3 linked regions of the Canis lupus familiaris genome follow. The protein of the gene in region 1 binds, or shares a complex with, the protein of each later gene. Links are inferred from orthologs where the notes say so. Each region holds a gene or a part of one and is shown in the gene's direction. Other genes may lie near its edges.

The links. The genes of interacting proteins can lie anywhere in the genome.
Region 2: the proteins of TNNT2 (region 1) and TNNI3 are in contact, whole or in part, in a crystal structure (PDB 4Y99), measured with the Homo sapiens proteins. The link is inferred for Canis lupus familiaris from reciprocal best matches to the Homo sapiens genes TNNT2 and TNNI3. Residues at the interface, in NP_001263274.1 of Homo sapiens: Glu214, Lys217, Lys218, Ile221, Leu222, Arg225, Arg226, Lys227, Leu229, Ile231, Asp232, Leu234, Asn235, Glu236, Leu239, Arg240, Ala243, Lys244, Leu246, Trp247, Ile250, Tyr251, Leu253, Glu254, Ala255, Glu256, Lys257, Phe258, Asp259, Leu260; in NP_000354.4 of Homo sapiens: Arg68, Glu71, Lys72, Ala75, Leu76, Arg79, Gln81, Pro82, Leu83, Leu85, Leu88, Gly89, Phe90, Leu93, Gln94, Leu96, Arg98, Leu100, His101, Arg103, Val104, Asp105, Val107, Asp108, Glu109, Glu110, Arg111, Tyr112, Asp113, Ile114.
Region 3: the proteins of TNNT2 (region 1) and TNNC1 are in contact, whole or in part, in a crystal structure (PDB 1J1D), measured with the Homo sapiens proteins. The link is inferred for Canis lupus familiaris from reciprocal best matches to the Homo sapiens genes TNNT2 and TNNC1. Residues at the interface, in NP_001263274.1 of Homo sapiens: Gln266, Tyr269, Asn272, Val273, Asn276, Arg277, Asp280; in NP_003271.1 of Homo sapiens: Asp99, Phe101, Arg102, Asp105, Ala108, Asp109, Gly110, Tyr111, Arg147, Tyr150, Asp151.

What each region holds. Positions count from the first base shown.
Region 1 is NC_049228.1:1,654,989-1,658,206, forward strand, and holds the end of TNNT2 (troponin T, cardiac muscle), read left to right. Parts: intron 1-583; coding exon 584-674; intron 675-1,997; coding exon 1,998-2,038; intron 2,039-2,363; coding exon 2,364-2,409; 3' UTR 2,410-2,656; downstream 2,657-3,218. UniProt on the Homo sapiens protein: Troponin T is the tropomyosin-binding subunit of troponin, the thin filament regulatory complex which confers calcium-sensitivity to striated muscle actomyosin ATPase activity.
Region 2 is NC_049222.1:103,239,849-103,244,467, forward strand, and holds TNNI3 (troponin I, cardiac muscle), read left to right. Parts: upstream 1-1,417; 5' UTR 1,418-1,556; coding exon 1,557-1,567; intron 1,568-1,802; coding exon 1,803-1,815; intron 1,816-1,953; coding exon 1,954-2,040; intron 2,041-2,404; coding exon 2,405-2,446; intron 2,447-2,748; coding exon 2,749-2,880; intron 2,881-3,255; coding exon 3,256-3,345; intron 3,346-3,479; exon of another isoform or gene 3,480-3,761; intron 3,762-3,842; coding exon 3,843-4,019; intron 4,020-4,444; coding exon 4,445-4,528; 3' UTR 4,529-4,591; downstream 4,592-4,619. Other genes in the region: DNAAF3 (dynein assembly factor 3, axonemal), read left to right, coding at 24-98, 189-444. UniProt on the Homo sapiens protein: Troponin I is the inhibitory subunit of troponin, the thin filament regulatory complex which confers calcium-sensitivity to striated muscle actomyosin ATPase activity.
Region 3 is NC_049241.1:37,719,951-37,724,403, forward strand, and holds the start of TNNC1 (troponin C, slow skeletal and cardiac muscles), read left to right. Parts: upstream 1-1,251; 5' UTR 1,252-1,358; coding exon 1,359-1,382; intron 1,383-2,928; coding exon 2,929-2,959; intron 2,960-3,164; coding exon 3,165-3,311; intron 3,312-3,777; coding exon 3,778-3,892; intron 3,893-4,129; coding exon 4,130-4,266; intron 4,267-4,353; coding exon 4,354-4,385; 3' UTR 4,386-4,453. UniProt on the Homo sapiens protein: Troponin is the central regulatory protein of striated muscle contraction. Tn consists of three components: Tn-I which is the inhibitor of actomyosin ATPase, Tn-T which contains the binding site for tropomyosin and Tn-C.

The sequences.
Region 1 (3,218 bases):
GCAGGGGGGCAGAGGGGAGAGCAGGGGGGAGGGCGGGGGTGCAGAGGGGAGGGTGGTGGAGGGCAGGGGAACAGAGGGGAGGGCAGGAGGGCAAAGCGGGAGTAGGGGGGCAGAGGGAAGGGTGGGGAGGACAGGGGGCAGAAGGGGGGGAGCAGAGGGGAAGCGGGAGGGGAGGGCAGGGGGCGCATTCTCACCACCCACCTCCAGGGGGCGCGGTCACACCACATATTTTCCCAAAGACCGGCCTGGTGGACGGAGCTGGGCCTGAGCGGGTCAAGCCGGGTCTGCTTGGCCAACAGGGAGGGAGCACTGAGTAGACGCCCTCTGGGGGTGGGGGGGACACGGGGATCGGACTGTGCTCTGCGGTGCTGCAGGGCCTTGCCCCTCCCCAGACCTCGGTCCTCCGGCCCCTGGTTGTCTCCCCAAGCCCCGGGCACTGCCATCTGGGCGCCACACTGAGTGGGTGGGCTGGGGACCTAGGCCGGCCTGGGGTGCAGGAGGGCTGGGGCCTCTGGGGCCCGGGGCCCTTCGGGAGGAAGGCCCCCCCTTAGGGCCCCCACCCCGCCCCGCTCCGGCCGCGCAGGGAGAAGGCCAAGGAACTGTGGCAGAGCATCTACAACCTGGAGGCCGAGAAGTTCGACCTGCAGGAGAAGTTCAAGCAGCAGAAATACGAAGTGAGCTGCTCCCCCCAACCCTGACCCCACCACGCCCCTCCTGGGTCGGTGGGTCCCCTCGGCGCTGTCAGTCAGGCCCCTTCCCCGACCCTGTCACCCCGCACTCGGGGTCTCATCCCTGACAGTGCTCAGGGTCCACCACCGGCCACTGCTCGCTGCAGAGCTCTGATGGTTCACTGGCGGGGCCGGAGCAAAAACCCATGTTGGGGGGGCCTGCCCTGGGGGGTCCCCCTCCCCTCCTTTCTGAGGCCTCGAGGCAGCCGCCCAGACAGACAGGGGGAGCCGGGTGCACAGAGCAGGGCTCCGGGTGCAGAGGAGGCCCCTCGCCCCGGCAGCCGCATCTCCCGTCCCCACAGACTCTGAGGCCCTGGGGTGCACCCAGCCCGCCGAGGGGTCCCAGGTGTCCCGGCAGCAGGCTGGAGTCAGCTGGGCGGCGCGGGTCTCCACAGGCCCGTCGGCCCCAGGAGCGCAGCTTCCCCTTGGGGGCTGCCTCGGGCACCTCCTGCGCAGGGTCCCTCCTCTGGGCACCGCTCAGGCCCCCGTGGCTGCATGGATGTCCCCGTGTGGTGACGGAGCGTGCACGTGGTGGCCGCACCGCCGGGTCCGTGGCTCGGCCCTCACCCGCGTGACCCGGGCCAGTCGCTTAGCTCTCCTCGTTTCTGTTTCCCATTGAAACGACGAGGATGCCCGCAGGCCACGGTGAGGGTTGGGGGGGCGGGGGGGAGTAACGGTGACAGTCGCAGTGATGGCTCTGCCGAGGCCCCTTGGAGCGCTTTCGCGTGGATGAGGTCATACCTCGTGATAATCCTGCGGGTGAACAGTTGGGAAGAGTGCTCATGACGGAACAGAAGGTGCCGGGCACCCCGCGGGCGCAGGAGGTGTTAGCTGCTCCCCAGCCCCCAGGCCCCGGCCTCCCTTCTCCCCTGGGGTCCAGGGCGGGACGGCTGGGGCCCTGGGGGCTGCGGCTGCCTGGGGGCTTCCTGAGGCCCGGCCTTGCACCGGGGCTCAGGCCTCTTTGTGCCACCCTGTCCCGAGCCCTCTGTGGCTCTGGGACCCCACAGCGACAGCCCCGTGGGGTGGCCGGGAAGCCTCTGCCTGGCTTCTGCTTGTGGCCCCGGGGCCCTCTGGATCTCACAGCGCTGCTGCTCGGCCCCCTCCCCTCCTCCCTCTCCTACCCCCTCCCTCATCTTTCCTCTTCCTCCTCCCCCTCCTCCCTCCTCCTTCCTCCTCCACAGCTGTGCTAAGCCAGCTTCCCCCTCATCCCCAGCCACCTGGGACCTGAGTCCCTGAGCTCCGAGGTTACTCTGTCTTTCTCACTTACAGATCAATGTTCTCCGGAACAGAATCAATGATAACCAGAAAGTGTAAGTTTCTAGGTCCTTCCTCCAGCCCGCCTGCCTCCTCCTGCCCCGGGTCCTAGCCATCCCGCTCCTCCTCTGAGGGCTCCGGCTCCCACCCCTGCCTCCTCCGCTTCAGGGCACAGGCTGCTTCCTCCTTGGGCTCCCCCGGGGTGACTGCTCTGCGGGGAACGGGGTGCAGGGCCCGTGGGGACTCACCCCAACCCGAGGCTCGGAGGCAGCTCCAGGCCACCCTGTCGACCCTCCCCGTCGGCCACCTGCGCCCCCTCCCTGTGGAGACCTGCTGCCCGGCCTGTGTCCCGCTTCTGACGGCGCCCCGCTTCTCTGGCAGCTCCAAGACCCGCGGGAAGGCCAAGGTCACCGGGCGCTGGAAGTAGGGGCAGCAGTCGCCTTGACCAAAGATCCTCGCCGGCGCCCCGTCCCGCTCGCCCCCAGTCCCTGGGGCCCCCCGGGTGCTGGAGGCAGGCTGGTGTCTGGAAACCAGGAGCTGGCCCGGCCAGAAGCTGCTGTGCACCTGTCCCCCCACGTGCCCACGCATGCACCCCACGTGCCCACGCATGCACCCCACGTGCCACGCATGCCCATAATAAAAGCCAACACACACTGCGTGCCTTTTCTGTCAGCAACTCTTCAGAGGGAGGGAAGCTGAGGTGAGAGCCTGTCTCACAGGGAGTCAGGGCCGAGAGCAGCCCCTCAGGGACTCGGGCCCCTCGGGGACACACGCCCCTTGGGGACACGGGCCGCTGGTAACTGCCAAACTCAAAGTTAGCCCCGTCCACCTGCTCGGGAGGCGAGAGGGTGCTGGCCCCGAACGCGAACGCGCGGGCTCACCCAGGGCCTGGGCCTCACACCCAGCAGGAGGCCTTGTGCCGGGGCTGCCGTGAGTCACCGCCGTGAGTCACCGTGAGGCCCGGGGGGACGTGCCGAGCGTCCTGAGCGTCAGGACAAGGGTTCCCGTGTGAGTCACTCCTTGGGAACAATGGAGGCCTTCTTGGATGGGCCTGTTTTCTTTCTCTTCCTGGCCGGGGCCTAGGAAGCAGGCGTCCGAGGGGAAGGAGGGCCGGTGTCGTCAGGTGGCCCTTCAGGCCGAGCTGAGCTGCTGAGAGGCGTGGGCTGCTCCGAGTGCTCGGCTTTCTCCCCTCCCGCCACTTGCGCGTCCTCTGGGGCGTGCGCGCGAACCAGGGAC
Region 2 (4,619 bases), on another chromosome or scaffold:
AGCCCTCACTTTTCTCTACTCAGGATGGTGCATCTTCTCAGCCCCGATCTCGGGGCCTGTGTGGCCCCCGGAGGACGCTTGGTGGTGGAATTGGCCCGGTGAGCCAGCCAGTGGGAGCGCAGGGCAGGGAATATCCAGCCCTGGGCTCACAGCCGGGGACCCCCTAACATACCCCTTCCTTGTTTCAGGTACCTGGTGGACTTGAGGCAGGAGCAGTTGCAGGGCTTTGCTGCCCGGGTTGGAGAGTTAGCTCAGGCGGCTGGATTCACGCCCCCACCCCAGGCCAGGCCCTCGGAGACCTTTGCGCGCTTCTGCAAAGCCTTGGACTCTGCTGGCCAGCACACTGACTCAGCTTCGGAATCCATGACTCCGCCCCCTGACACCCTGGCTCCGGCCCTTGAGAACCAGAGTCAGCCTCTCAAAGGCGGGACCCCACCCTCTTAGCCCCTCAAACTGCGCTCAGAACCCCTCAAACTCCAGCTCTACTCCCCAAGGTTCTGGCTCCACCCACAGAGAGTCTGACCCCATTCCCAGATATCCAGTCCCCCATCTCTGACCTCTAAGGTCAGGTCCTGGAAGTAGAGCTTGCCTCTAGAATATTCACTCGGGTATACTCTCAATATTCTCCAACAGCTCCAGCGGTGTCCCTAGAATTTCAGATTACCTTCCTGGGATTCTATATTCTGTTCCTAGAATTCTAGAGTGTTCTTTCAGGGTTCCACATTCCATTCTTGAGACTCTAGAGATCCGGCCCTGAGTCTCAGGCCCTCTATGTGGTTTTCTTGTCCTCAGAGGTCCTATTTTACCTGAGGGTTGGGGGAATCTGCTTTCCAGGGCTGGTCCACACCCACATAGTCCAGATAAAAAGAGTGGTGTCCTCTTCTTCATGTGCCCTTGTGTCTTTGTCTTCACTTTTGTCTCCAGGGCTGGGACAGGGAAGGGGCTAGGGTGGTTAAGAGAGGAGACCTAGTTCCAAGTGGATTTCTCTGGGCTGTTATTGCCTGAGAGTCTGGACCATACCTGGATCGTCACATAAATCAACAAAATTTATTGAGTGGCTAACAGGTTTGGGACACAGAAACTGATCATAGCTCTCATGGAGATCACTGTTTAGTGTGGGGATGAGCCCCAGACTTCTGGGTCTGAAGAACCAAGGAGCTGGGGGCCTGAACTCCTGCATCTGAGGGAGGAAGGGCTGGGGGCCTGAACTCCTGTGTCTGCTGGAGGAGGGGAATGGGGGCCTGAACCCCTGCGTGTGAGGGAGGAGGGGCTGGGTTCCAGGCCTCCAAGGTGGAAGGGTGATCCAGCTGGAGCACAGCCCACCCCACCCCTCACGCGCCCCGGTTATCTCACATCCTGGGCAGGGGGAGGAGGTGGCAGCAGTATATTTAGTCTCAGTCCACGCCCCTTATCTCAGTGTCTTCAGTGAAGCTTGAGCAGTGCAGACAGACTGAAGCTCTGGGGGCCTTCAAGGTCATCCCGGATGCCCCCTCACTGACCTTCCAATCGCCCCTTGCCCTTCTTTGCCTCCTGCAAGCCTTGGCCTGAGTCTGCGCATGGCGGATGAGTGAGTGCATCTAGGGAACTCGGACCTGCAGGGCCCGAGGCGGTGGGACGTGGGCCTGTGAGGCCTGAGGAGGGAGGTGGGGACAGACTCCTGGCTATCGGCACGAAGAAAGGTTTGGGAACCAGACTCCCTGGAACCCGAGGACTGGGCAGCTGGTGGGCGGCCCCTGGGGTCCCTTAGACTGGACGGGACAGAGGCCCACCATTAACCCCCCCTTCCCGGTCTCTTCCTTCAGGAGCGGCGATGCGGTGAGAGGAGGCGCAGGCCGGGGTCCACGGCAGGGGAGGGAGCCGCAGGGTGGGCCCTGGGGCGGGAGGTGGCAGCTCCACCCGTAGAGGGGCGCTGGGGGGGCCCGCAGTGACGTGGCTCCATCCCCCCAACCCCAGGCGGGGTGCCCGCCCCCCGCTCCGGCCCCGATCCGACGCCAGTCTTCCGCCAACTACCGCGCGTACGCCACGGAGCCGCACGCCAAGGTGAGCGAGGGGCTGGCGGGGCTCGGTTCCCGGTCCGCAGAGGGGGCGGGACCCAGGGGTGGAGGGGCGGTGCCAGAGCCTTGGCTGGGGCGGGGCTTTGGCTGTGGGCGGAGCCTAGGAGGAAGCTGCGCCCTAGGGGCGGGGTTTTGCGGAGGGAGGGCTCGGATTGGTGTGGCCTGCCTATGGGCGGAGTTCGTTGCCCATGGGAACTGCCTAAGCAGTCAGGGGGTCAGGGTTGGTGGATGGGGCTGAGGGGCTCAGCTTCAGCGGGAAGCGAGTCCAAATCTGGAACCTACCCATGCCCCCGACCATCTGTCTCCTACTCCCCGCCCTGATTATTCCTTGCTCCATGTCACCCCGGCAGAAAAAGTCCAAGATCTCCGCCTCGAGGAAACTGCAGCTGAAGGTGCTGGTGGGCCTGGAGGGGGCGCCTAGGTGTCCTCAGGGGGTGGAGCTGGAGGGTCGGGTGCGGGAGGGGGTAGGACGAGGCCTCAGTGGGGAGTGAGCGTGGCTTGTGGTGAGCAGCACCCACCCTCTCCCCGCCACGGGGGCGGAGCCTCGGATTGAAGGGGAGCGTCTCTGGAAAACCGCGGACCCTGCCTGGAACTGGGGGGCTGTCCTGGCCAGGGCGGCCTCCCCGGTGCGGATGCCGCGCAGCCCTCATCCGCCTCCCCGGGTGGGCTGCGGTCCCCGGCCTCGCCTCTGCAGACCCTGATGCTGCAGATCGCGAAGCAAGAGCTGGAGAGGGAGGCGGAGGAGCGGCGCGGAGAGAAAGGGCGCGCCCTGAGCACGCGGTGCCAGCCGCTGGAGTTAGCCGGGCTGGGCTTCGCGGAGCTGCAGGTACCGTTCTCATCAGGGACTCCTGCCCAGCTGGGGATCCGAGGTACCTAGTGACCGCTCCTGCATGGTTTGGACTCACCGGTCTAGTCACTGTCCCCTACCTCTGCTCTGGACCTTGTGATCCAGTCTGCTAATCCTTACCCTCAGGAGTTCAGAAATATGGCCTGCAGCTGCCTACAGTCTCAAAACCCAGAGATTAGGCTCTCCAGCCCCAATTCTGTCAGATTCTCAGGACTCCTGGCTCCCAGCACCCTTTATTCCAGCTGCCCCAGAGTCCTCTAGGACTAGATGTCCAGGCCCCCAGGGCCTCCTCCCTCAGACTCAGGAGTCAGAGTACCCCCGTCCCCCAACCACACATACCACATTCTTGACCAGGACTTGTGCCGACAACTCCACGCCCGAGTGGACAAAGTGGATGAAGAGAGATACGATGTGGAGGCGAAAGTCACCAAGAACATCACAGAGGTGGGGGGCCCTGGGCAGTCTTGGTCCCTTCGGGTAAAGTCTGGTGCCTGGGGTTGTGGTCTCAGTCCACGCCCTTGCAGCTGCTGTTGACTGCAGACACCAGGAGACCCAGGACAGCTGGGCCTGGCAGGGATGGGGCAGAAGAATGAGTATAAAGTGGTTAGGGAAGGCTGTTCCAGGCAGAGGGGACAATAGCACACAAAAGCCAGGAGTTGGGAACGCAGAAGCTGTATTCGTGGAAATGTGTAGCTGGAGCATCGGGTGTTGTTGATAGGTGAGCTCAGGCATGGGTCAGGAAATTGTGGGATGCATGCAGCAGCACCAGGAGGTGTCAAGTGTTTTTCAGAGAGGAGGCTGGGCCCGTCGGGAGGGCTTACAGTTACTGGATGAGGAGCCTGGATGAGACCTCCATAGGCCTGGAAAGAGAGCAGAGGGAAGTATAGGGTGGAAGAATGGGTCTGGTGGAGGTTTCTACCTTCCCTTATGGCTGCCCCCAGATAGCAGATCTGACCCAGAAGATCTTTGACCTTCGTGGCAAATTTAAGCGGCCCACCCTGCGGAGGGTGAGGATCTCTGCAGATGCCATGATGCAGGCGCTGCTGGGCACCAGGGCTAAGGAGTCCTTAGACCTGCGGGCCCACCTCAAGCAGGTGAAGAAGGAGGACACAGAGAAGGTGAGTGTGGCTAGAGCCAGGAAAGGGGGTGCTCAGAGGAGAGGGTGTGGGACATAACAGTCATTGGGCCTAAGCTCAGGGCAGATGCTACTTGGAGTTATGGGGAGAAGAATCTGGTAAGAGGTCCCCAATAGGAAGTATAGGAGGGGCATAGGAAGTGCAAGGGGAAGCCAGAAAGTAGAAGGGGAAGCCAGGAAGTGCATTAGGGAGAAAGGAAGTAGCAAGGCCAGAAGTGCATGAGGGAGATAGGATGTGCATGGGGGCAACTTTGATGGGATCGCCTGAGGGGATGAGAAGCCTTCCAGAAGCAGATCTCAAAATGGACATCCAAAGCAGAGTGGCCCAGCGGGCCAAAGATTGGGGGGAGGCTATTTGAGAGAGTGTAGATGGGAGAGAAGCCCTCACTCCTGGCCCCATTCCTCCAGGAAAACCGGGAGGTGGGAGACTGGCGTAAGAACATCGATGCGCTGAGTGGAATGGAGGGCCGCAAGAAAAAGTTTGAAGGCTGAGCTGGCTGCCCCCTGCCCTGGCCCTGAAGGTGTCCTTGAGGAATAAAGTTTCTCTCTGAGCTAGAAATGGCTGCAAGTCTGCTACCTGGGG
Region 3 (4,453 bases), on another chromosome or scaffold:
GCAGCGCGCGTGCGCAGACGGCAGAGGCCCGAGCGCCGGCGCGGCGCGGTACCTTGGCTGCGGCCCGCGCGCCCCCAGGAGGACCGAGGCGCCGGGCGGGGACGGCTCTGCGCCCGGGAAGCGAGGACGGAACGCCCCGCACCGCCCGGGCCACCCGAGGGAAGCCACTGCTCCGCCTGCTCTCAGTTTCCCCTTCCAGAACAAGAGTCAGCCGTCGCCCCTCGCCTGGCTCTCAGGCTCATCCTCTGCAGGGCACGCACGGGATTGAAGTTAGGAGCTGTGCGCAGAGCCCGAGCTGGACACAGTAACTTGGCGCCAGCTCTTAACCTCTCCAAGACTTGGAGACCTCCTGTAGCGAATGGGATTAATCCACGCAGTGCCCGGCACTCGAGGCAGGGAGCTGGTGTGGTTATGGAGACGGGGCTCCGCAGGGGGGTGGGAGGGAGGGATGGGCGCTGGCCGTTGGGGCTAACAGGCTGGCCCTGGCCCTAGAAACTATAGTACTGGAATGGGGAAGCACAGACACAGAGATGGAGCCCTAACCCAGGGGAAGACCCCCACCTGGAAGAGGGGGATGGTAACCCAGCTGAAGGGGAAAAGTCTAGCACGGATGGGGCATCTGTACATGTGTGCACTGAATGACCAAATGCAGCTTACCCACACCCAGAGCTAGTGCTGTTCTCCCTGGGGAGATGAGAGGTCTTGGCTATGGATGCTCTGACACCCCTGGGCCCAAGGGCTCCAGAGCACTCTGTGCTAACGTGGGTGAATGACTTCCTTCTCCGGTGGTTACACAACGCCATACTCTGAACTTGGCATTCGAAGCTTCTCTTGAAAGGGCCTCTCTTTGCTGCATACTGCTGGCCAGCACCCTCCCTCCGCAACAGGCTTAGCTTAAGACGGGGGCTGCCAAGTCAGACGTATTCCGAACAAATCACCAGCCCTCCAGGAGCTTAAGTTTCCTCATCTGAAAAATGGGAATATTACCCATCTTCCTGATTGGATAAGAATTGAACTTCTGTGTGTAGGGGCCTGGCCTGGGGCCCACTATTTTTCAGCACCTGTCCTGTTCTTGGCTTATGTTTTCTTTCATTCAAGAAGACTTTCCAGAGAGTCCCCTAGGAACCATGGGGGACAGAAGGAAAAAGATGTGGTCCTTTTGCAGCCCTTCATCTGCTCCCTGCACTGGGCAGAGGACACAGGGATTCAGGCCAGCCTGAGATCACCAGGGCTGGGGGAGGGGGTGGAGGATACTGCAGGCTGGGGTGGGCTGGGCCGGCGGGGAATGAGGTGGGGCAGGGCTATTTAAGCCCAGGGCTGGCTGGCAACCCCAGCAGCCTGCCCTGTGAGCCGCCAGCATGGATGACATCTACAAGGCTGCGGTGAGGGACTGGGCTGGGCAGGGCTGGGGTGGATGGGCCCACTGGGGCCTCACTCAACTCACGATGGGGGGTGAGGTCACTCTACAAAGGTAGTGGGGACCTGGGAGAGGGCCCATGCAACTTTCAGCCCAGGCCCTCAAGGGGATGGATGGTGGATCTGGCATTCTAATTCCAGGGTGTAGAAGGAGTGAGGGGTTTAGGGTGAGGGGTTCAAGGTCTGGAGAGGAGCTTTTTGGAGGGTGGAGGAGGTCATAACTTTTAGCATCACGTCTGCCCCTGTCTCCAAGTGTCTGTAGTCTGTGTCACTATCTTCCAGCCACATCTCCCTTCACTTGTGTCTGTGGTTTTTGGATCTTTGCCTTTATCAGTCTCTTTCTATCTCTTTGTTCCTCCTCGTTGTCCCTCTGAGTCTCTGCTTCTGTTTCCCTGTCCCCACCTCATCCCCCTCTCCGTTTCTGCCCCTCACATTCTGCTCCTCACCCCACCCCCTACCTCCAGCTCCTTGGATGGCTGAAGATGCTGTGGAGGGTGGGACAGTTTGAGAAGGGGGCTGGTGATCCAGAATCCTGAGCTGGAAAAGGGGCTTAGAGGTTTGAGGTAGGCAGGGAAGCGCTAAGCATGGGGGAGACACAGGGAAAAAGGAATCAAGAACCAGGGCCCCCACCCCAATCAGGCCTGGAGGGCTCAGGGGTCAGTGGTTTAGCCAGGGGTGAGGGCTGGAGAGTGGTCACCCTGAGTCCCTGCAGCGTCCTAGGGTCACTGAGGGGCCTCAGATACTAGTCCCTCCCAGGAGTAGGTGGTGTTGCTGACCTCCCCCTGTCCCAGAGGCAAGGATGTTCGGCATAGACAACTGTCCCCAAGGGAACCCCTCCCTCAGCCCTGAGAGTGGAGTGCAGCCTCACTTCCGGGCAGGGGAGAGCTAGAGCTGGCTCTAGGGCTGTCCCTGCCTGTCCTACAGGAGTCCACAGAGCTGGCGGGGGAGGGAGCTGCCCTCCACCCTGTGCCCATACAAGGCCTGGTGGGGCTGGGGACTAATTTTGGCTCCTGAGGCACCAGCAGGCCAGGGGGCCAGATAATGCTGCCCCACCCCCTGCATGCCAGAGTCCCCAGAACAATCACCAGGTTTAACTTTGTCCCCCGTTAAAAATAGCCCAGTGGCCGTCCAGGTCAGGTTACAGTGGGTGGCTTTGCCTATCCCCACACTGGTTTTATTGTCCCAACCTGAGGGACAGCTGTCCCTCAGGCCACCCAGCTTGGATTTCACCAAGGGAGCCGAAAGGGCATTGAGTGGTCACTGACTATTGTTACTCGGGGTCACCTTGGCCCTGGAAGGGGCGCCCACCTGTCACCCTGGCCCTAAGCCCAGCCTCAGTGAGGCCAGCTGGGTCACCTCAGGACTTCGGGGGACAGGGAGTGAGGACTGAGGACTGTGACCTGGGAATGGCCTGCCTCTTCCTGGCTTCACTTTCCCCATCTGTGGAATGGGTTGATTTCCTTAATAGCAGCCAAGTCCTGAATCAGTCCTGAGACCTCTTTTTCTCTCCAGGTAGAACAGCTGACAGAAGAGCAGAAAAATGGTGAGTGCTCCAACATATGTGGGGGTACGACAGGGCCAGGCTGGGGGAGCATGAGGACCCCCGAGGCCGGGGTCCCTCTCACCGCAACCTCAGAGGTCTTGGAGGGAAAAGGCAGTTGGCAGATGGCCCCAGAGGTCTGGCCTTCTGGGATCCTGGCTTCTGAGCCCTGACCACTCTATCTTCCCCTCCTTCCCTTTGGACACAGAATTCAAGGCAGCCTTTGACATCTTCGTGCTGGGCGCCGAAGATGGCTGCATCAGCACCAAGGAGCTGGGCAAGGTGATGAGGATGCTGGGCCAGAACCCCACACCCGAGGAGCTGCAGGAGATGATTGACGAGGTGGATGAGGACGGTGAGCCCCCTGCCCCCCAGACCCTAGACCCACATCAGCCTCCAGTGCTTGGGCCCCAAATCCTGGCTCTGCCACTTATTACTCTGTGCCCTCGAAGGAACTTTTAACCTCTCTGAGCCTCAATCGTGTCATCTTCTGAAATGGATATAATGACCACACTCGTCTCACGGAGTTGCTATGAGAATGCATGCAGCAGGGCACCTGGGTGGCTAAGCAGTTGAGTGGCTGCCTTTGGCTCAGGGCATGGTCTTGCAGTCCCGGGATCGAGTCCTTCATCAGGCTCCCCTGCAGGGAGCCTGCTTCTCCCTCTGCCTGTGTCTCTGCCTCTCTCTCTCTCTGTCTCTCTTGAATAAATAAATAAAATATTTTTAAAAAGAGAGAGAATGCACGCAGCAAGAGCACAGGGGTTTAGTGTCAAGAGCATTCTAACCATCCCTCACTGATGGCTGGGCTGCTCACCTTGCAGGCAGTGGCACAGTGGACTTTGATGAGTTCCTGGTCATGATGGTTCGGTGCATGAAGGATGACAGCAAAGGAAAGTCTGAGGAGGAGCTGTCCGACCTTTTCCGCATGTTTGACAAGTGAGTGCATGACCCAGGATCTCTGACCTGACTCTTGCAGAGGTGGGGAAAGGGGGACAGTCTTGTGACCTCAAGGCCTCAGTTTCCCACTCTGTGCAATGGGAAAATGGGATGTCCCACCCCATTTTCAGTGCTGGCCCTGCCTTGCCTCCTGGTATCATGGGTGGGGCTTCTTCCCTTCCTCTGGCCCACACCATGAGCTCTGAGGTCCCCTTCACATCCCCGCCCCCGGCACAGAAATGCTGATGGCTACATAGACCTGGATGAGCTGAAGGTGATGCTTCAGGCTACCGGTGAGACCATCACGGAAGATGACATTGAGGAGCTAATGAAGGATGGTGACAAGAACAATGATGGCCGCATTGACTATGACGGTGAGGGGGGGCAGTGCCCTTGATCCCTCCTTGCCCACACCTTGCCCAGACCTCTTCTCTGACCTAGGTCTACTCATCTCTCCACAGAGTTCCTGGAGTTCATGAAAGGAGTGGAGTAGATACCATCACCCACGTAGAACTGCCTGTGCCACCTTCCAACTCCAGCTGGGCCCTGGGGTGGCGGCAA